4 linked regions of the Drosophila melanogaster genome follow. The protein of the gene in region 4 purifies or fractionates together with the protein of the main gene of each other region. This does not show direct contact. Each region holds a gene or a part of one and is shown on either strand. Other genes may lie near its edges.

What was found.
Region 1: the proteins of gw (region 4) and Not1 purify together in Drosophila melanogaster (affinity purification with western blotting, with the first as the bait; 2 studies listed by BioGRID). This does not show direct contact.
Region 2: the proteins of gw (region 4) and PAN3 purify together in Drosophila melanogaster (affinity purification with western blotting, with the first as the bait; 2 studies listed by BioGRID). This does not show direct contact.
Region 3: the proteins of gw (region 4) and AGO1 purify together in Drosophila melanogaster (affinity purification with western blotting; 17 studies listed by BioGRID, with this or other methods). This does not show direct contact.

Annotation. Positions count from the first base shown.
Region 1 is NT_033778.4:9,573,505-9,579,122, reverse strand, and holds the start of Not1 (Not1), read left to right. Parts: upstream 1-2,427; 5' UTR 2,428-2,618; coding exon 2,619-2,945; intron 2,946-3,004; coding exon 3,005-3,535; intron 3,536-3,590; coding exon 3,591-4,053; intron 4,054-4,115; coding exon 4,116-5,336; intron 5,337-5,422; coding exon 5,423-5,618.
Region 2 is NT_037436.4:3,069,055-3,074,641, reverse strand, and holds the start of PAN3 (Poly(A) specific ribonuclease subunit PAN3), read right to left. Parts: upstream 3,510-5,587; 5' UTR 3,335-3,509; intron 2,096-3,334; exon of another isoform or gene 1,882-2,095; intron 1,562-1,881; 5' UTR 1,198-1,561; coding exon of another isoform or gene 1,164-1,197; intron 1-1,163. Other genes in the region: CG32486 (uncharacterized protein), read left to right, coding at 4,103-4,480. UniProt on the Drosophila melanogaster protein: Regulatory subunit of the poly(A)-nuclease (PAN) deadenylation complex, one of two cytoplasmic mRNA deadenylases involved in general and miRNA-mediated mRNA turnover.
Region 3 is NT_033778.4:13,954,513-13,959,769, forward strand, and holds the start of AGO1 (Argonaute-1), read right to left. Parts: upstream 3,578-5,257; 5' UTR 3,450-3,577; intron 2,839-3,449; 5' UTR 2,661-2,838; intron 1,169-2,660; exon of another isoform or gene 1,088-1,168; coding exon of another isoform or gene 905-1,087; exon of another isoform or gene 897-904; coding exon of another isoform or gene 703-896; intron 533-702; coding exon of another isoform or gene 405-532; intron 350-404; exon of another isoform or gene 338-349; 5' UTR 296-337; coding exon 175-295; exon of another isoform or gene 1-174. Other genes in the region: mRpL53 (mitochondrial ribosomal protein L53), read left to right, coding at 405-532, 703-896; CG33155 (uncharacterized protein), read left to right, coding at 905-1,087; Rpn13 (regulatory particle non-ATPase 13), read right to left, coding at 4,133-4,886, 5,056-5,257.
Region 4 is NC_004353.4:657,346-662,855, forward strand, and holds the start of gw (gawky), read right to left. Parts: upstream 3,264-5,510; 5' UTR 3,084-3,263; intron 2,639-3,083; exon of another isoform or gene 2,215-2,638; intron 1,164-2,214; 5' UTR 993-1,163; coding exon 557-992; intron 340-556; coding exon 1-339. Other genes in the region: CG46466 (uncharacterized protein), read right to left, coding at 3,810-4,628. UniProt on the Drosophila melanogaster protein: Required for gene silencing mediated by micro-RNAs (miRNAs). Silences both polyadenylated and deadenylated mRNAs. Required for miRNA-mediated translational repression and mRNA decay. Not required for miRNA target recognition.

The sequences.
Region 1 (5,618 bases), on a different chromosome or scaffold from region 4:
GTAATTCAAAAGAGTATTACAGCTTTTCTGGTATAAGTTCCACATGGCGTTATGGATTTCTATATTTTAATCACAAACCCGTGATTTGTAACACTATTCGTTGTGAGTGCCAAGCAGTAGTGACTGAACTATCGGTTGCTGAACACGCTTCCCAGGGAATGCAAAATTTTCATTTCGGCAATAATTAAAAAATCCACGAGTGCAAACAAATTTGAAGTAATTTTCCTAGCATACATATACAAACGAGCCCAAAAGCTAAACTTGAAACACCAAAGCAACCGGAAGGAAGTGGAAAAGGAGGTCGACGACGATCAGCCATATATTCTGCCTCAATTGCCCGTGTGTGCGTGCGTGTGTGTGGTAGTAGTAGTATTTTTTCATTTCTGTTTTCGCTGTACGTGCGGATTGATTCATATTGTTTCATTACGTGAGCTATTGCAATATTGTACACACTGGGCCGAGGACATAGCCAATCGGATTTTTCTCATGAAACCATTAAACCGAGTTTAATGTTTATTTGATTTACGCGTAAATAGATGCCGCCTGCAATGTAGAGCTGCTGATGGCCCCTTTTATACGGGGGCCGCGGCCAATGAATCTACAGACCCAAAAAAGAACAAAAAAAAACCAAGGAAGGCAGAGACAAAAACAAATTGCGCCGTAGGTGAAATGAAAAGCGCCAAGAAGCAACAGCGAATACGTCAAATATCTCTAATCTCCAATACCAGTGCACGCTAAACGTGTGTGCTGAACAAAAAATTCTGGTGGCCTCCAACAAAAACAACAGCAACAAGAAACATCCGCTGAGGAATTGACAACTGATACGTAGAATTATGAACGTAGAGAGCCAACTGAAGACACCGCCAACGCACATTCGAAATCTGGTCAAGCACGTGAACAAGCGAAATTTTAATGAGAGCAGCGAGCAAATAAATCAGGTAGGTGCCCAAGTTATTCTACCAAAGTTTCCATGAACCATTTCCAATTCATTTTGTCAACAATAACAACAACATTTTGTAGGGGGCGGGGGTTTAGTGTTGCCAAACCGACAACATATCGCACCTGGCCAACCAGAGTTGCCAATTGTTCGCACTCACGAATGGGCTATTGCCATTTCACTCGCTCGTGCATTTTTGCCGACGCCATTACAGTTTTTTGGTAAAGGCAGCTGAAAAAATTTCTCTGCACGGCGTTGCGCGTTTTGTGAGCGTTTTGTTTAAGCTAAAAGTTTTATAGAATGTGTAAAACCAGGCCAATTGTGTGCGCTTAGCCACAAACGTGTTTCGTGAGTTGATGGCAGTGTGAATTTTGCAGCGTAGTAGTGCGAAATCGAATTGCGAAATTCGAATTGGGAAGCCCAAGCCAAGCGCAGGGCTTTTCGGCCCCGAAACTTCTGTTTTTTCATTGCCAAACGAGAGAAACCAAATTGAATAGTAAGTTCGTGGGACAAATTGCGTGGGAATATCAATTGCGGCCGCTTTCTTTTCGCTAGAGTTGCAATATGTCGCACTTTTTCCTGTGACCCCCTTCCTTTCGCGCACCGTCATGCTCTCTTCTCTCCTTACCCATGTAACGTTTCGCCAACGTGTGCGAGCGAGAGGGCGCGTGTGTAATTTGTTGTGGAGCAGCTGCGACGGCGGGGCCAAAGCTGTTGTCTCGCTCCCCCGTTCGGAGTGAGGCCTTGATTCCGGACTCCGAGCTCCGGATCAAATATTTCAACAGTTTTGGATCCGTAGGGAGGGAGGGGGATATCTAGCCTCCTAGAAAAGTTTTGCCATTCAAATTAGTATCATAACAAATACTTGGCTTAGAATGGCACCATTTGCCCAACAATCCCCTAAAAAGTAATCGTTTGTGGGACAAACTATGCTACAGATCCCGTTTTCTTGACAGTAAATGGCATATTCCTCAAAAATTAAAAAAAATGATAAAAAAAAATGATAACAAAACAGAGTCATATACTTCAGTATTTTGAAATTCTCAACAATCTATATCTGCCATTTAAAAAGCCTGATAAGTTTTCAAGTTATTCGAACTCAGTAGGATTACCAAATTTTCACTGATATTCAATGTTGGAATGAAGTACTAGGATAACCCAACGGAATTTATAGTAAGAAAGGTCTAGGAATTTGTTGGATTCCATGGAGAAATTATCGGATAGAAAATACATTAACTAACTTAACGATAGCCCAATTTGAGATATAGTCTTCCATTTAGTTATAGCATTCAAGATAATCTCAGAAACCTGTGAGCCCAACAATGGTGCACCTAAACTGGAATTCCCAATGATAAAATTCATGTTTTAACCCTCTGGTTGCGCTTTTAAAAAGCCAATTGGGTAAAGTTTTTAAGCGGGCAAGAAATAATGACTTAATGGATTTACTTTTGAAAACAGTTGCCTGGAGTTAGAAATAATCCCTCCAAAATGTTACTTTACATCTTGCCCTGTATCCGTAAACACATATCCAATTGTACAGAGAAAAGTTGAGACACTCACAGAACATAATAGAACCTGTCAAAATTTCCAAGTTTGCGATGAAAATCACATAAAAAAAAATCCCGGTCACCGCAGAATCTGAGGAATCGTTTGAAACATACACTGTCCCTTATACAGTGATATGTGTCCCAGATTGCGGGCAGTCGCTGTCAAGGCACTTATATTGGCTTCCAAACCCTACGCAATGCAGCTCTTTGATTCTAAACCATACATTACTGATAGCATTTACGACATCTTGCAGTTCGTTAAAGAGCACGGCCTGGAAGCGGATCGCAGCAGCCTGCGCCACCTGTTCTCCGTGATCAACTTCAGCGATCTCGTGCCATCAGTTACGGTCCAGCTGCAGGCGAAGCTCCTGGGCATCCAGTTGGAGCGTCAGCTTCACAGTTCATCGTTTGTGTCCAACATCTGCTACGCTTTTGACCAGTTCTTCGCCAGCAACCAGAAGGTAAGTTGAGTTTACAATGCCCACAATGTGTTGATTACTTATGGATACTCATTCCTAAGCAGTCCCTGAAGCCTGTTGCGGTAGCGGATCTCGTTGGCCAGGTCGCCCGACTGACCGGCATCAACAAGGTTTGTGAGTGCGTCTTTGCCTTGGCCTTGACCCACTCCTCGTACACAGAACTCAAACATTCTGCCAGGAACAACCTAAAAGGTAGCCTCAGCGAACTTATAGACTCTTACTTGGGTAATAAAGGCACCGGCCCAGCCGACAGCGGTCTCCGGGAGATCTCCTTCGATCTACTGCAGTATTTGTTGTGCTGCCTTAGCGAGTACGTACAACCGCAGGTGGAAGCACAGTTTTTGATCAAGCTTCGTGAGGAGTTTCCGCGCCAGGCGGTACCGCTGGTTCTAGCGCCGTTCCTTTACGGCTCGACGACGGCGACGATTGCGGGAGCAGGTGCCAGCGAAACGGATGCGGAGGCCGAAGCGACGACTAATAGCAACAGCTCCAGTTTCGAAGCAGATGCTTTGAACGAGGTGGGAATCGAGGATATTTATGACCATTTAAGCGAGATAATATTCACCAACCAGGTGCGTAAGACACTCATTGAAAAAGACAATTCGCTAATTGAATGTTGTGTTGCAGGGCAAAAATAATATTATGGACACATCTTGGATTAATCTAATCCTTGAAATCGGTTATGAATTTACATCGAGCGTTGAAGAGTGTAAGAATCATTTGTGTTCCCGCGAGCGAGAACGCGCTGAGCTCCAGTCCAAAGATGTCGCCAAGATCGTGGGTCTTATGTGCCGACGGCACTCCTCCCTGCTCGATTGTAATGTGAATCTACCGACGCCGGCGAACTTCTGGCCTGGTCAGGGACAGGGCGGTGGCAGCAACAGCAGTGGCTCTTCGCAGACACAAATCACTCCGCAGCAACAGAACCCGGGCAGCAGTAACAACAACGATGGCAGCGATGGCAATTCGTCCAGTGATAAGAAGGACAAGAAGGAGACGACGGAGGCCACGCAAACTTGGAAGCCAGATGTCTTTGTGCAGGCGCTCAAGGAGGTGGTGCCTCAGCTCAACTGGAAGGACGTGTGCATGGGTAATAGCTAGATAATTGCTTCGCAATCGCCAATCTATAGGAATATCATTCTTAATTTTTAGAACTTGATCATCCCGAGTTCGTGCTGAAGGATCGCATCGGTTTGGAGCTTTTGCTCACCATCCTTCGGCTGGCCACTGGCTCTAACATATTTCCACATCCAGAATGCATTTACCGTCACTGGGCAAACACGGAAGGTCAGCTGTCGCTTATCGCGACAATGCTGAAGAACCCGGATCTCTTTTCCTTCGCCGACTTTGTATTTAGCCAGCCAGCGTTGGATGTGCTTAAGACGGCTCCGGATGCGGACAATAAGGAGATCTCGTCCTGGAAGTCGCTTCACCTGGTGGAGGTGCTGCTCTCCATTGCGGACAAGGGATACTATACGCAGGTCCATGAGCTATTCAAGTTCCCAGCGCAGAACTGTCCCGATGTGCTATTTTTGGCCTTATTGAACACAAGTCCGCCTATGACGCCACTGCGTCAGGATCTGTTTAACCAACTGATACCAACGTTCCTTGGCAACCATCCCAACTCGAACGTGATCTTGGCCAGCGCCTGGAGCTCGAACAACTTCCAACTTCGTTCCAATATCATGAATGCTATGTCCGAGTGGTATCTCCGAGGCAATGAGTTCGATCAGGTGAAACTGTCGCGCATCCTGGATCTTGCCCAGGATTTAAAAGCGCTATCAGCGCTGCTCAACGCCCGTTCATTTTTATTCATTATCGACCTGGCTTGCCTTGCCTCTCGGCGCGAGTACCTGAAGCTGGAAAAGTGGCTTACCGATAAAATTCGCGAACATGGAGAGCCTTTTATGCAGGCTATAATCAAGGTTCTGCACCGCCGCTGCCCGCAGGTTATCAACGCAAAAGTGCCAGAGGATCAGCTGCCTCCCAAGCAGGCGCAGCTTTTGCCCGAGACAGTTACCACCATGATCAACTGTCTGCAAACGTGCATCAATAACTGCATGCAGCCGGAGATGGTCGAAGTCATCATGCAAATGACCGCGAACGTGGCGATTATGGCTAACAAGGCGCGTGCCCAACAGCAGCAGCAGCCAGGATTGGTTCCGCCGCCTCCACCAACAATTCTGCGCGGCCATCGTGGTATGGATCTGCCTGGAGGCATAGTCCCTCCGCCACCGCAGCAACCGTTCTCCGGAAACCTCAACGCGCAGATGTTTGGACCAGGAATGGATCCGCTAACGAATATGTCCAACAACTTAGCCGGCCTCAACCTCAGCGGCCCGAACGGAGCATTTAATTTTGGAAACATGCTAAGTAAGTGGCATTCATAGGCAATGAGTGCATAATCTATCACAGATGCCTCTTAATCCTATCTAACGAAATTCTACGTGCAATTTCAGCTTCTCCATCGCGTCTGATGACTCCGGGAGCCAATCCCTATCCGCTGAACCTCATGCAGATGCCGCAGGCTCCGCCACCACCCAACGTAGGAAACCTAGGCCGCATGCTGCCAGGGGGTCCACAACAGCAGACTCCAACGCCGACTCCAACGGCCCCCAATCCAAACAACCCTGTGATGGCCGATCTCCAGATACC
Region 2 (5,587 bases), on a different chromosome or scaffold from region 4:
CTTAAAGCCATCTAGCTTAATCCTTCGATCCCAAATTGGTATTGCTACCGCTTTTTATTATTCGTGCAAATTATTTTTATTGAGAAATGTGAAACAGAATCTACTTGGTAAAGAATGATTGTGAAAAACACCCTGAATGTCCTAGGACATCCTGTACAATATCCTTTCGACGATCAAATATTTATGGTATAATGGGATAATATGTTAATGTTACACTGTACAAAGTCACCCTAAAGAGAGTATCCCAAGCTTCAGTGCCCGTTGGAAAGCAGCCTTTGTGCTGGTCTCATTGTTTTGGCTCTGGTTTTGGCAAAGGGCAGGGAAGCGAGGAAGTGGTTTTTCCTGCCGTACCTGTATGAGTTTCCCTGTCTCGGCCTCTCTATGACCATCTCTTTCGCAGGACAAAGAAAATGCATGAGGAGAATGCAGAGTGTGTGGAACTTGTTCCTGATCCCAGAGGGGTTGCAAGGAGCAGTAAATGGGAATCTGAGCGTTTCCAGGAATAACAAAACGATAATCGATGGTATTGCAGCGAGGAATGTACGTAATTAAAGGGAAGTGTATAGATTGTTTTGGGGCAGATTGATTATGCCAAGATTCTCTGTTCTAGGCCGCTACTCCATCCCGTCCCTATCCCTCTCTCTCTCACTCTCGCATTCTCTGCCTACTTATCTCCTTCGCCTCCTTTGTTCCTCGGTCACGTCCATGTAATTGCCAATAATCACAATATGCGCTTCGGTAGGAAAATTCAATTTACATGCCGCCAGTGGAGAGAAAAAACAAGAGAGGCGCAGAATTGAATTACAGGATGACCCCGGTGAGAACGCTTATGAAATATGCCAAAGGTGACTTTCAATTAAATGCCACCCAGCCAGAGGCGTGCGAAGGATTTAAAAAGGGGCAGATAAAATAACGTACTAACCGATCAATATAAGAAAGCTGATCTATGATTAATCACTGAGTTAAGCTCATAAACATACCAATTTTATTATTACAATCATAGAATAACTATGTATATGAACAACTTGTTTGATGGGGGGGTCATTTCACCCCGCCAACCCCTCTCCAATACGCTCCTGCCACCAGCTGTGGTTCTGCTCTTACGTTCCCTGTCTTTGCTTGTGTTTGATTTCCTTTGCTTTTCTGGCTTTGTTTTTGCTTACCTGCCGGGAAGAAATTGTTCAAGAACGTTGACATTTTTCTCTTTCGCTCCCGCCTTCGCCAATTCCTCGTGCGCTCTCTTTCTTTTCGTGGTCCTTCTCGTTTCGTTACGCTTTGTTTTTGCGTTTGTTTTCGTTTTAATGTGCACTGAGTTAAAAACTTTTTCTTGGTTTTTTCGTTTTGTTTTCGATTTTTTTGTAGTTCTTTTTAATAATTTTGTAGAAAATATTGAAACAAAAATTTAAATAATACATACAATCCGCGCTTAACTGCTAAGTTTCAAATAACACATTTTCACATTGTACGTTTCGAAAATATTTTTTTCTTTCACTTTTTCACGTAAGTTTCTTGCAGTTGAAATGCATTTTCGGGCAAATGATTAACAATTGAGGCGCGTCGACTGTAAAAAGCGAGAAAGAGAAGAACATTGAATTAAAATAAGTAACGGTAAGCGAAAAACAGTTGTTTGTTTTTGCAAAACGGGGCGACAAAATGAAATCCCGAAACGCAACAGTGAGTGGGAGTGAGAGGGCGGTATAGCTTGGATTTCATTAAATTTTCCAAAGTGAGTCTGTGTGGGTGTACGAGGACGCTTTTTCCTACACATATACAGACACAATTGCGCGCATATTTGCTTACGTTTTCCACACTTTTTTTCATTTCGCACTTGGTTACTCATATTTTTAGAGTTTTATATTTAACACCATCCAAAATACATACACACTGAACCTAAGCCAACATATTGTGTAGTTAATTGCCTGTTTCATTGTTAGCTTTTGAATTGCTTTCAGTACCGTAATTACTTTAATGAGGATATTTCCTTGAAAGGAGCTGCTGTTGCTATATTGTATACATTTTCATTACCATTTTCCAACGATTTTGCAAATAAGAAAAACGCAACACACACACCGCGCGATTGGCGCTGCACGAATGAAGAAAACGCAAAGAAGATCCAACAGCCAAGCCAAATGGAGTCCACAAACGACCCCCGAGTGTTGTATACATGTACGTCCGTCTGTGTGTGTGTGTGCACAGGAGGTCGGATAAAAACAACAACTGCCAGCTGTGTGTGCAACAAAGTGGATGTGGATTCCATTCGAGGAGTGTTGGGAAAACATCCGCGCTCAAGGGGTTACATGGACTTTAGCTATTGTTAATAATTTTAATTAACATATATATCATTTTATGCAAAGAAATTTAACAGATTGTATAAAGTCCCTCATGTTTTTCAGCTGATAAATGCTGGATATGAAATACGTATTCTTTCAAAGAGAAATCCTTTGACACGCTACTGAAGTTCCATTATTGAATATAATGTAATAAAATAACTTTTAAAAATGGCGAAACCCCTTTATGGTATTGTAACACTTCACCTTCAAGTGGCCAGGACGTTTTGCAGAAACCCTAGCAATTGGCGTTGTTATACACACATGCATATATACACAAAATAAATACATATACATATGTAAGTTTTTGGCTGGGGGGAGTTCAACAGGACCCAACAGCTGGCCACAGGTTGCGTTCCACATAGAGAAATGTGGGAGCCTGGGCTCCAAACGCGATCCACACTCCAGCCATATTTGTGGAACGCGACAAACAGCTGGCTAGGAAAAGGGGAAGAGGACGCAAAGGGGAAGGGAACGAAAAGAAGGGGAAGAGAAAAAGCAGGAGCAAAGGAAATAAGAACACATATGTATACGATTTGTTTTTTGAGTGGGAACAGCTGGAAATAATTAACTAAGTTCACTAAGCAAGCCAAAAGCCAATTTATAAGTGTAGTTTTGTTACAACGTTTTTGGAAATATTTTTATTTTAATTTTCAAAAATTTTCATAATAATTGCACGTGAATTAAAAGTCAATTCATTAAGTTTTTATTTTCATTAAAGTTTTTAATTCACCACCGAAAATGAAATTGAAGCCATCTTGGTCACCAAATTTTTAAGACGCAATTTGTCCAAATGGTTCTTATAACGCAAGCCAGATAGCAAATACGTATAGTTTTTTGTTCAACACGCCAACGATTTGTTTTTGTTATTTTTCAAATTGATGCCGCTGTTGCACACACACACACAAACACAAAAAATGCCAAACACACAGCGCACAGCGAAGTGATACAAAAATGTCTGCTGAGAAAACTGCGATTTTTCGCTCTTTAATCCACGTTTTCCGTACCTCCACTGACCAGTCATAGTTCACTTTGCGAGAGGTGACTTCATAAAGAACCTGCCGTTTGTGTTTTGTCAAACTTTTGTACATTTTAAAGACAAAATCACAATATTTAATTTCTTACATGTTTTCCGTTTGCCGCAAGCAGTGTGACCGCATCTCGCGAGTGACGAGTTCCGTACTGCCGGATATAAGGGCAGCACATTAAACACGAATGGATTCGTTTTCAATAATATACTTGTAAAATTATATATATGAAGGCAGATTTTGCTATATTATTTTAATGCTATTTTATTTTGAAATGGTTAATTTAATAATATTTGTTATTTTATTACTTTGTAAAGGGGATGGTGTCCCTGCTAACGATCAACCAGGGCTGGAGAAACACAGACAATAGAAAAACATCGATAGGCTTTGCCAATAACATCGATACGTTATACTAGTATTTTGCCTAATATAAGATTTGGTCACACCGCACAACACTCTCTAGAAAGACAACAAATTTTTTGGCGAGCGGACGTGTCGGCGGACAAAAAGCTTGCAAACAGAACAGAACGGAAGAACACAGAAGAGAACGACACGACACGGACAGCGGGGAAAGGTGGCAATTGAAAGAAAGTGCCATACTTAGTGTGCGAGCGAAAGAGAGAGAGAGCAAACTGGGTATTGCTTGTGTGTGTGTAGTAGTTTAGTGGTCGTGTGTGTGGGAGTTTGTGTACGAAGCGAGTGGCAAAGAAAAACACAACAAACATTATTCCAAGAAAATTTCCAATCATGTCGGTGGAATCCTCCAGTTCGGCGGTCCAACAGCCGCCGTCGTCCTCGAACCTACCGCTCCTGGGCGACAACCAGGCGGTGGCCACGACCAGCTCCGCCTCCTCGGCCTCTTCCTCTTCCACATCGTCGTCCTCCTCGTCGGTGGGCGGCGGCAATGTGGTGGGCGTGCCGCTGGACACGCAGGGCAGCGGAGAACCGCCGGCCAAGAAACAGTTGTTGGACGGAGGGGGCGGTGGTGCCACCAGCAGCAGCGGCAGCAGCTTGCTTTCCAGTGCCGCAGCCGCCTCGGGAATGCACGAAAAGCTGGCCCACCGCATCTCCAATGCCCTGTGCTGTGCCGTCTGCCTGGATTTGCCCAAGACGGCCATGTACCAGGTGAGTTTTTGGATTATTTACAGCGGCTTGAACTATAAGCCCTTGTAAACTAGAATCAAAAAAAGGAAGTAAGAGCTTTAAAAGCGAAAGAAGAAAAACAGCAAGTGCGCGTGTGTGTGTGCGCCTCATTCTGTATACAAACAAATCGTGGCAGCTCAGCTGTAAGAGTAAAACACCTCTCTCCCTCTCTCCACCCTAGCAAGACACAGCTGTGCGAGAGCGAGACGTCTAGCTGGGGCGCTCTTGCATTATTCGCCTTGAAAACATTGAAAGAGTGCGAGGGGGAGCGAGGGCGGGAGTTAAGTCCGTGATCGAGGGTGGAGCCTTTTGTGAAGATATGATGTGTAAATGTATGAAGGTTTTTAAGTTTCAGCAGATAGTTGTAGTGTGAAGATTTCCAATAAAGAATACGACTGACTTTCTTGAAGTTCAAAATCAGTATGAAGTTTATTGTCAGAGAGTGGCTACTCGAGTCCTCCGTTTTCGTCTTATACATAAGTACATAGGTTCTTAATTGTAAGCATAATGAACATGCCGACTCGGCATGTGGCTGGCTAGCTGGGGACAATGTTGCAGTGCGACTTTTGTGTAATGTCAGCATTCGGCCGGAATGTCAGCATTCGGCCGGATGCGGTGTTCCAGTTGCCGTCTTCCCGGTTGAGTGTCCGATGATTTGTTTAGAGGCGTGGGGGTTTAGGGGGTGGGGTGGTAACTCCTCCCCCCCCAGTTCGAAGTGACGGCCATAGCGAAGGTATGGATGACGCGTAGATTGGTACGTGATGATCCTCGTGGATGTGGACGATGTGTTTCGTTCGTCGGTGCAGCCATAAGATGACTGCTAGGAACGTTACCAATCCGAGCAGAGTGTAGAGTGTCCAGGTGTGCTGTATAGTATTGTGATGGACGGCCAGGATTTTATCCATTGTTTGGGTGGCTTCGAGGTGCAGTTTTTCTAGGCTTAGTACCGTAATAGTGGTATTCCTAGTTACTTTTCGCATGGGGGGAAGATCAAAATCCGTCTGTTCAGGGAACGTGTCAACCGTGCCGTCGTAATCGATACCGTTAATCTGTATTGTTTCGTTAATGTATCTGATGATGGCTGACCCC
Region 3 (5,257 bases), on a different chromosome or scaffold from region 4:
ACTCAAATTGGATAGAATTTTCACGAAACCGAAAGGAAAAAGAAAATCATACTAAGAAGAAACTGAGAAAAACCAAAAAGGGTGCAGTGAAGTATTCACACCAGAAAAACCGATCCTTCGAGGGCTAAAAAGGTGATGGGGTTGGGGAATGAAATAAATGCGTGCCACACTCACCGTAGACTTTCCCAATGATGCCCACGGTGGAGGTCATCTGGAGATCCGGAAAAGTCAGCGGCAGCGTGTGCGGATGGAGCTGAGCTGGCCCACCGGGAGCCAGCTCACGCTCCGTGGACATTTTAGTCGGTGTCGGCGTCAGTTTGAGGCGGCGTCGCTGCTCCTGAAAAATCAAGTAAATCGTGATGATAAATCAATAATCTAGATATCTATTTCAATTCTAATTTCAGGGAATTCCTCTTCCTGCTCTCCACACCCAAAGTGGCAGCTACGAATCCCAAGTGCGTGGTCAAGCCAGAAATCGTCTGCGATCGCCAGCCGGCCAACATCAAGTTTGCCCTGATTGATTCAGCGCAAGGTAAGAATACCTAAACTGGGACAGCTGAAATATCTAACTAAAAGGAACCAAAATACATATGAAATATGTATTGAAAAATTGGTTTCCTTTTAGCGTGGGCAACTAAGTTAACCCTTTTGAAACTGCAACATTCAAAGAGCAAACACTTATTGATATTATATCATTCACAGAACAAGCCCAAGTCAAGGAGATCCGCTTCAACAGCGATAACCTAAACACACTAGAGCTGCTGCAGCTGTGCAACAAGCACGTGTCCAGCTTGGCACCGCGCGAGGAGATCACCAACAAGGTCCTGACCAAGGCGGAGAAACAGAAACTAGCAGGAGGCGCCGGCGGCGGAAAGAAGGCAACCAAGAAGAAGTAACCATCAGGATGGTGAGGAAGCACAAAGGAACACTGGCGGTGATCGAGAAGATCTACCAGGATATACCCGCATTCTCCGACATCTTCACCGAGGAGAGCTTCTACATGTTCGCCTTCTGTTTCGTGTGCGCCACCATTCTGGTGGCCTTCATTCTCTCCCGGTTCATCACCATCAAGCCCGTCGATTTCTAAGCCAATTGTATTGTTCAATTCCGCACACGTACTTTTCAAAATATATATACGCTCTAACATGTAACAAACACTCCGCACTGTATTGTCTTTTTGGCCCGACTGTGCAAAAGGGCAGCGCTCGATTCGATTCGGTCAGCCTGTCGTTTGTTTCATTTTTTTTTCGCCATTCGAAACCAGTTTTTCGGTCCCTGGCAAACCGGAAAATCATCTGCTCCTGCTGCTGCTGCAGCGGCTGCTGTTTGCTGCGCTTGCTGATGTCAGCGGATCGGAGAGCCGCCTGCCGTCCCAAAGCTTATAATCACAATGGGGCGGGAGGAGCCAATGGTAATTGGACCGCAGGAAGTCGACCAAATGGGCCATGCAAAGTGGACGGTGGACGTGGCTGGGGTGGACCACTACAGACTTGTTCATGAATTGTGGCATTAATTTGTTACTGCTCCAAGTGAATGATCATCTGCATTCTTGTAATGACAACAAGGATGCAACAGGCAGTGGAGAAAGCTTCTCTGTTGCCAAGACAGCTGTTGAGATGAATTGAAGTCTTATTCTAATGGGGGAGCAAGGAAGAAAGTGCACTGTGCAGTTCAAGCTTTGAGCTAAAGTTTTGAAATGGCGCGCTCTAAATGTGTGAATATGTACGTATTTGCGACGAAATCGATGGCTGCAACTGGCAACAATCTGTTGGAGTGTGGCAGCTGCAAAAATGGTTGGTGAAAGTTGCCCCAAAAAGCTGCGGCACCCTGTGATTAATAGAATTCTGTTCAGAGTGCCCCCAAGTTCAATGTCAGGCTGCAAGCTTTCTCCCCGCCTGTTCGCCAGCCGTTTTGAAGGAGTCACGTCGTAAAAACTTTCACCACCCACTTTTAAATTTTGAAGTTGCGAACGAGGTATTATAGCTTCGATCATAAGATTGCAAATTGGAGCTTGCGCATTAATAACATAGCAAATTTAAGTTTTTGAAACCGATAAGTTTTTTATACTTATAAAACCTTTTTTTAATATGTCGCTAGAAACGTTAAAAAGCTTTGTTTAATTATAGCATAAGTCCTTACAAATTGGTTTTAAATTACTGGTTTTTGTTATAAGTTAGTAACTCATATAAATTTTAACTCCCCAATGTTTTGATAAGATTTTAATCGGTTTAGGATTGGATCATATAATCCTATCGCAATAACTGTATAAAAGGGTATTATTAGTTTGTTAAAAGTTCAAGAGCATGTAAACCTGTCGACACGAACTTCTTCGTCGATTCGTGACGTAATTCGCGAGGGACGTGGATGGCGGGGATATTAACGAACGAAAGTTCTATTGGAAGCTAAGGATGTGACCTTTCTACCAAAACATAAACACTGTCTGTACGGTCGTCCCTCTCGCACCCCCGCGCTCACACGCTTGGCGCTCTTGAAAATTTCCCAAAGCATATGCTCAGGCGCCATTAGTGTTTTGGTTTCCTGTATTTTTGTTTTTTTTTTTTTTTTATTTTGGGGCACTTCCATTTTACTTGCAGCTCCTGCAGCTGTTCTGGAAGCCTCCATTTGCCGGCAAATTGAAAGATTCATAATTTTGTACTTACCTTATCGCAAAATTGCAGCTGACTTTGGTGTGTGTGTGCGCTTTTATCAGCTTTATCAGCGGCAAATCAATCGTTTTTTTTGGTGAATTCCGTTTAATGGAGGGGAACTCATTAAGGAGTTGAGTGGGGTTTGCGTCTCGACTGGATTTAAACCGTTGCGGACGTTACTTTTCCAGCGCTAATTGGAAGAAACGAGAAAGATAAGTGCAGGAAATGGAAATGGAATTGGTTAAAACGCAGTTTGTGCGGCTGCTGTTGTTGTTAGTGTTGCCAGATCGTTGCGCCGGAGATATGCATGAAATTGCGAGTCCGGGGAGCTTTTTGTTTACTTTGCTATTTGACAACACACACTCTTAAGCAGCTCCTATTTTATTTAGTTTTATTTTTTGCAAGCTTCCAGGCCTGTTTAACAGCGCGCGTGTGTGTGCGTGTGAGTCAAAGGTTGTCGGTGTGCGTTAGGCACTCGACTCTCTCTCTCTCTGTCTCACTGCCCTCTCTCTTCGCGCTTTCTGTGTTTGCTTTGATTTTTGTTTTTGCCGCGGCTTTTAACTTTTTTATGACAACTACTTTGGAGGGAAAAGCTTTCCCCACAGCTCCGCGAAGCAGTCATGCAAAAAAAAAACATACAGGCTGCCACTAGACACACACACCTTCTCACGTCCGCCAAAAGCACCAACACACAAACACACACAGGCACAGAGATTGCTGCAAAATGAAAGCACCAACAACAACAGATACAAAAACATCCAGCCCGCAACGCAAAAATTGGCGAAAAAATATGGCAATTACTGCAGATCTGGATATATCCGGGTTTGATTCGCCTGGCGGAGATCGCTTGAGATCGTTATGTATGAGAATTGAGAGTCAGCTTCGGAAAATTGCGAACGCGCGAGTTTTGCACAAACACAACTTATTTGCTGGCCGTTTTGGAATTGAATAAAATAAATATTGTTGCGTGTGCCTGTGTGTGTATATATCTGTGTGAGACGGCTCTCGCTGAGAGAGCGCGCAATTCGCGCCAGAAAGGGACGACCAGTGTGTTGCGATGAGAGAGCGGGGCAGCGAGCTTTTGTTAGGGGGACACCAACAAAATGACCTTGTCGGGATTAATATTACCGTTACTTCCATATATCCCCCCATTATTAACTTCAAAATTTAAAATAAATTGTACACGTTAGACTTTGTTTTTTTAAATTAAATTAGGTAAGCCAAAAACCCAAGTATAATGAGTATAATGATGCATTCTGAAAAGAGCTGGACGAGTACTTACCAAAACGCGTATCCTTTTATTAAAGTAGTAATATTTTAAATATAAATTAATAAGCCGTTTTGATGTATATCAAACACACAATTAGATAGATAACTACCGATTAACTCCCATTTGAATTTATTTAGCATCCAAAAATCACTCAGCACATGAAAAAATTTGCTTTCGGATTCCATATCAATGACTACCAAGCCGCACACGTAAGCTACTTTTGCTTCTCCTCCTGTTTTTCGGTAGCGGGATCTGTGTTCTCATCGCGGGCCACTGAAGTTGGGGTTTCGGGATCGCTGGCCTTCTTCTCGCTGGCGGAGGGTTTGCCACCCATGGTGGCACCGGGGGGCAGACTCTTCTCCAGAGCACGCACAAAATCCTCTAGATTGCCAGAGAAGGCGGCGGCCACTGCTTCGTTGGACAACTCGAATTGCTTGATCACAGGTCCCAGCTGGGCCGATTGCAGGGCACTGGAGAACTGGGCCAGAGCCTGCTGGAACTGCGGGGAGGTGATATTGTCCTTGATCTGCTGCTTGCGATCATCGTCCACATCCTCCGACTCGGGCAGGTGCACGATCAGCGTCTTGACATGCTCCGGATCGGCAATTATCTGATTGATGGCATCGGCGCCGGGTAGGGCCGTCGATAGGTCAATATTCAGGGATCGTCCTGCGCCATGTTCGGGGGAGAGATTGGATAAGTAGGCTTGGAATGGATTGGCATAGGCTCCGGTCGATTTTGACGCCGTTGTGGTCGATGTGGTTGAGTTCTTACCGGGGGCATCCGCATCAACGGAGGAGCCGGCACCTTCGCCGACCTGCGAGTTCACATTGCTGCTGCTGCGGCTGCTGCCCGATTTCGATGGAGCGCTCGGAGTGCGCGGCACACTGACGTTTTCGGGCGTCTGCAAGGCCGATGCCCCACCGCCACCCGATGAGGAGGTGTTGCGCGACGAGGGCGTCCGGGAGCTGCGGAGAATATAGAAAGGAAAATATTGAAAAAGGGGGTGAACTCAAGTTCTGGCTTCATTCCTTCGATTACATGCTTATAAACAATAAAAACGATACCCTGTAAGTTAAGAAGCTATCTACTTGACTAGTTCTTGGACACTATGGCTGCAAGGGTTTAAATGCTCACTTCATTTGGCCCAGCAGCGAGCTGAGACCACCCATCTGGCCAACGCCGCCGAAGAGCTGCATCAGCTGCTGCTGCGACATGTTGTTGAGCATGTACTGGAGGTCGCCGTCGTTGCTGCCGCCGCCGCCGCGCTGGTGGGCGGATGGAGGGTTGTTCAGCAGCTCGTTGATGCGGCGGCACTGCTCGTCGTCCTTGTCCGTCT
Region 4 (5,510 bases):
GACCAACCATTTTGTTGATACCTTGCAACTGGTTATGGGACATTTGTGGATGATGACCCCACATTTCAGAGGTCCCATTAAGACGACCAGATATTCCACGGGGATCTCCTCGAATAGGGTCACGCGGATCGATCATGCGAATGTCTCGTGGATCGCTCGAAGTTGCTCCAGAACCGTTACCGCCGCGATGTTCAACATTTCGAATATCCATGGAGCCACCAACTCCCAAAGGGCGTATTTCACGAGGGTCTCCCCAACCGTTACCAGCGTTGCTGGAGTTTCCGCTACTACCTGTTGCGACTCCAGACGATCCAGTTATATTGCTTGACCCGTTACCTCCTTAAATAACAGCAGAAATATAAAAGTATTTCGGGTTAATGAAATAAAAGTTTCTGTAGAACTTAGAATAGGTAATTCCCCAGATAAGGCTCCAACTTCAATTACTACACTTTATGTTTTTATCATGTATTGTTAGTCACATTTTGAGGGAAAAGCTAGAGCCTTTATCTGATCGTTTGCGCTTAACTTCATTAATTCTAATAGATATTAGGCCTACCAGTTGATCCAAGTCCGACGCCAACGACACCTTGTCCCCACTGAGGTCCGCCAGACGAAACAACACCGCCTGGACCGACATTAACTCCGGCTTGGTTTACTCCCACTGCAGCTCCGGATCCCGCGTTGCTAACAGCTCCTCCAGTCCACACACTACTACTATCGGCGCCATCGTCGTCCTCACCCCATGTTCCACCTAAGTTAGAGGATGGTGTATGACCCCACGACGGCTTTGGAACTTGCTGTGCGGCCGGCTGACCTCCGTTTCTCAAATTGGACTCCCAAAGATCAGTACCATTGTTAATGCTTGGCTTCCACATTGGTGGACCGGGTGCATCCTTATTGGCTGGTTCTGGCGAACTGGGAACTTCCCAATTAGTATCCTGGTTAACATGCTGACAGCCCCAGCCATCTTGGGAAAAAAGGGCTTCACGCATAGTGCTCAAGTGTTCTAACTGATTGTCAGCTTCAAAAGTAGCATTCCTTACTATTCCAACATCCACTTGATCTTTAACTTCATTATCATAAGCATTTATGGCAATTTTTAAAAGTTATTTAATTTAATCGAAAAGGAATGACTTAATCTGAATCCTTGTTCTTTCCGTGTTCTGTAGAAATATAGAAAACATTTATTATTTTTATTACAAAATATTCATTCTAAATCAAATTGCTAAGTTCTTTTTTTATTTTCTTGTATATACACAGGATAAATAAACTTAATCACCGTGATACGTTTATGCTTTATACACATTATTAATAGAGTAAAATGGTATATGGTATACCAGATTTGTTCTAAAGTATGTTACATAGCGGAAGCGTTTTCGACATAAAAGCTAGACAGTTGAGAATAAGCATGCAGATTCTAGTGACCCCTACGTTGTGCACGTTTGTTTTTAGTTTTTCTATTGTTCGTTGTTCTTAAAAAATTTTTTAATTCTGATCAGCTTTTCGTAGGCTTAATCAATATCTTCTTTACAGATTTTTAACTGCATAACATCAGTTAAAATTCTGAAGGAGAAATCATAAAAATTTAAGCTTTATAATCGATTCAAAAAGTCTGAGGACATACATATGGGTATATAAGAGTGGGAGTCATTTGACAGGAGTTAAACATGTATACTTAGTATGTACATAAAGAATTTTAAAAATGAAATATGCATCGCGATCGCTGACCTACCAGGTCTGCTGCCCAACCGGCAGAATCCCCACCCACATTAACGACAAATTCCTGTGTGAAAAACGAATGCATGTCAAAAAATAAAACAATTAAATTCACAACTCTGTAATGGTATATAAATATACATATGCATATGTACACAAGTAAAATGAATTTGTCAACTCTGGGCAGGCAGACATTGACGGAAGCACCCTATTTTATGTCTCCCTTTCCTAATTTCGCACTTGCAATTATGCTCAAATAAACTTAGAATTTAAAATGTATTTACACAACCTGTATATATGCAAGTATTGGCAAAAAGACTAATGCGATAGATATATACATGTATATACATTTGTATGAATACATTTTCAGTACTCTAGTGCATATGTAGAGAAGTCATTGTACAATACTTAGTATATTCGCGTGTCTTGTACCCTATGTGTAGAAATACAAGCGAAAAGCTGAGAACGTCACAAAATGGAGATCTAACTAAAACCTACCAAACAGAAATTAGAAATTAATATCTATTGCCAGAATATGCGTTTATAGTAAAATTGAACACTTGTGTATACGCTAATAGTTCACCGAATATTTGCAACAATTTTTGCCTTTACTGAACGAGAAGTTGATTTTCTCTATATATGTAAATATATGTGCATTTTTGTGTGTATGCATGTCAAGCCACTTTGACGAGTTCACAAAGTGTGTATGTGTTGTAAAACATACACACATTCGACAATCAATTATAGTTTTTCATATTTCACAAAATAAACTGGGATTAATAACAATCTTGAATGCGAAAACTGATTAGACTCAACAATAATTATAATTCGATGTAATTGAATATAAATTTCTGCGCACGTTCGACGATGGGGACGGCAGTTACTAGTGTATTAAATAAACCCATACAGATATTCCTGCTTGCAATATTGCCACCTAGTCAAAATTTAAAGACGGAATGGAAAGGTATGTGGAGTATAGACTAATGCAAATATGCAAAATGCTTACTTTATTTTTAATTACACTATTACTAAATTTTAACTGTTGGTGTGGAAAACCTCAAAGCAAATGCGACACATTTAAATTCCCTATTGCTTTGTCATTATGTAAAAGATTTAAAGCGTGGCAACTCTTGACTGGAACATATGTACATATAGACTTTTCCAATGCACGATACACAAGCGAACAGAATTTATTCTGCACTGATACACACATGCGTATGTCCGAAACTAAACGCTTGGGTTTTTGCGACCATTTAGGTTATGCACACTTAGGTTATGTCAGAAAGTTTCGCTTTTAATCGTACTGAGTACGTCTTCAACCATACATTAAAATTATTCTACTTCAATTTAGCTGCATTACTCCGTACATTCTATCCGTGGTGGGCTGTTGGCAATCTTTTCGTTTTAATGACAAAGCGCTTGTTTTCGAAAGATTACGCACACAAAAACATTCACTACTCGTGCTAATTCATTTTAACACACGCAATTTAAATAAAAAGTAACTATACGATGCTCTCACTCGCACTTCGCCTGGATCACGACAGACTCTTCTAGGTAGATGTCCGATATTTTCTTAAACTAATCGATATTAATCAATCTTAGGTAATACCCAGTTTACACAACTGCCTAAAATAAGTGCTGTGACCCGTTCACATCGAAGAGGTCAGATAGAGGGTACACAACAGAAGGATTAATTGATTAAAATAAATTAGCTGATATAATTTAAATTAATTCAAAACAGAGCTGTTTCAAACAAGTTCCAACTCATATAACTCTCGACCATTTCTAACAATTCAAATGAAATTTAAGGGATTAAAACAATACAGTGAGATAACATATGCATTAATAAATTTTAAAGCTTGAATGCCTTATTGAAGTGAGAATTGAAACAGGTTTGGGCAATCCATTAAATTCATAACTTATTTTATTAAGTCTATGTTAAAAAAGAATCCTTAATAATGTAATGTATAAAGTTTGGACTTACGACCGATTAATATTAATGTGTATGTTTTGGTGTTTTGCCTTGAAATCAAATGAAATTATGTTCTAAAATATCGGCTCTCCTTCGACTATCTATGAGATTTAAATAGGTTTTACCAATTGCTAAGAAAATCGAAACCCTTAGGCATTTTTAGTTCAGGGGATAACAGTTTTGTATTTTCGTCTTGACGTGCATCTTTAAATTCGTTTTCATAATCAGACAAGTCGTTTAACACACTGTTTTTCGATCCACATTTAACGAGCAGTTGCATTTTCTCATTAGATTCAATACATTCATCAATATAAACAGTTTGGGTTTTTGAGAAGTTTTCATGAATGGAAATCTTTCTTTCCGTTGTGTTAACGCCGGTTTTATCATTAGAATTAAGGTGGAGAATTGGTATTTTTTTATTGGTTGAATCTTTTGTCTTCAATTTTAAATGAATGGCCTTTTTTACGCCTAATGGAGTTTCAACAAGACAGATATCATCAAATTCTTTTAATACTATGTTAATTTGTGATTTGGTTCGATAAGAAAATGGAAACGAATGTTCATCTTGAAAATCTCCGGTGTTTTCATCGCGTAATATTTTTAAACCAACGTTTTGATAATTATATGTGTGTAAATCTTGGCCGTTATATAAATATACAATGTCTCTGAAACAAAATTTACGGTAATCATTTTTACTAACTTCAGTATTTTCGTACGGATCCTGTGCCGCATAGTTTTCTTTAGTCTTATGACAGTACTTAGAAAATATAACAGGATCTATTAATTGGTTATTCAATATTTTTTCCTGTTCGTTTAAAGTCAATTTAAGCCAAGCGTCTTGGTTGTATGTAGATTTAACTTTATTGAGATCGCAGGTAATTTTTTCGGAAATTGAATTAAGACGTGAGAAGTATGACTGAGCCTCATCGTGTGTTGTCATTTTTGATCTGAAAATAAATATGGTTTGCTGTATTAAATGGTTAGCGGAACGTTAGATTCTATCATAAAATCGAATAATTATATTAACCTGAATTCTTGAAAAAGTATTTATAATTCTTTTATACTCTTCACTCGTAAAGTAAGGGGGTTATTAAAAATTAAAAAAGAACATAACAGGTGAACAAAAAGGTTTCCGAGACTAGTTAATGAACTTCGGGATTTGGACACTATATGATGTCCAAACCGAAAACAAATGCAATAAAAAAGAAATATATAACCTTAGAATCAAATTAGCCCACCTCTCCTTTATTTACATTACTAATTTTTGGTAGCCAGAGGAGTGCTTCCCGACATTACAACATTCATAGGGGCAGACGGAAGTATCAACTCGGATGGGTGTTTCTTTCTAATCTAGACACATACATATGTATGTATATACTACATAGGGTTTATGTGTGTTTAAATTGATATGGGCGTTACAGTTTTGAACGATTTGTAGGTATTTGGTTAAAATTGTTTTTGGCAGTTTTTGGGCGGTTCGTGGTCGTTAGAACAAGCGTGTAAACATTTGGAAACATGTGAGTATAAAATGGGATCGATGCGTTCCTATTACATACATATACTTTCTATGATCGGAGACGGTTTCTTCTACCAATTACATACATTGCAGCGAATCTAATACATATACGATTTTACTTTACAAGTAATGGGTATAATATAGGAAATAAACAAAAATCGGCAAGCCGATTTTTATATGCTTATACTGAATAATATCTATTTATGATCACGAACAGAAAAAATTTGACTTTTCCAAGGCATATGGTCGAAAACTGTTCAATACCGAGATAAAACACTTTCTAACAAAAAAGAAGATATGTATGTA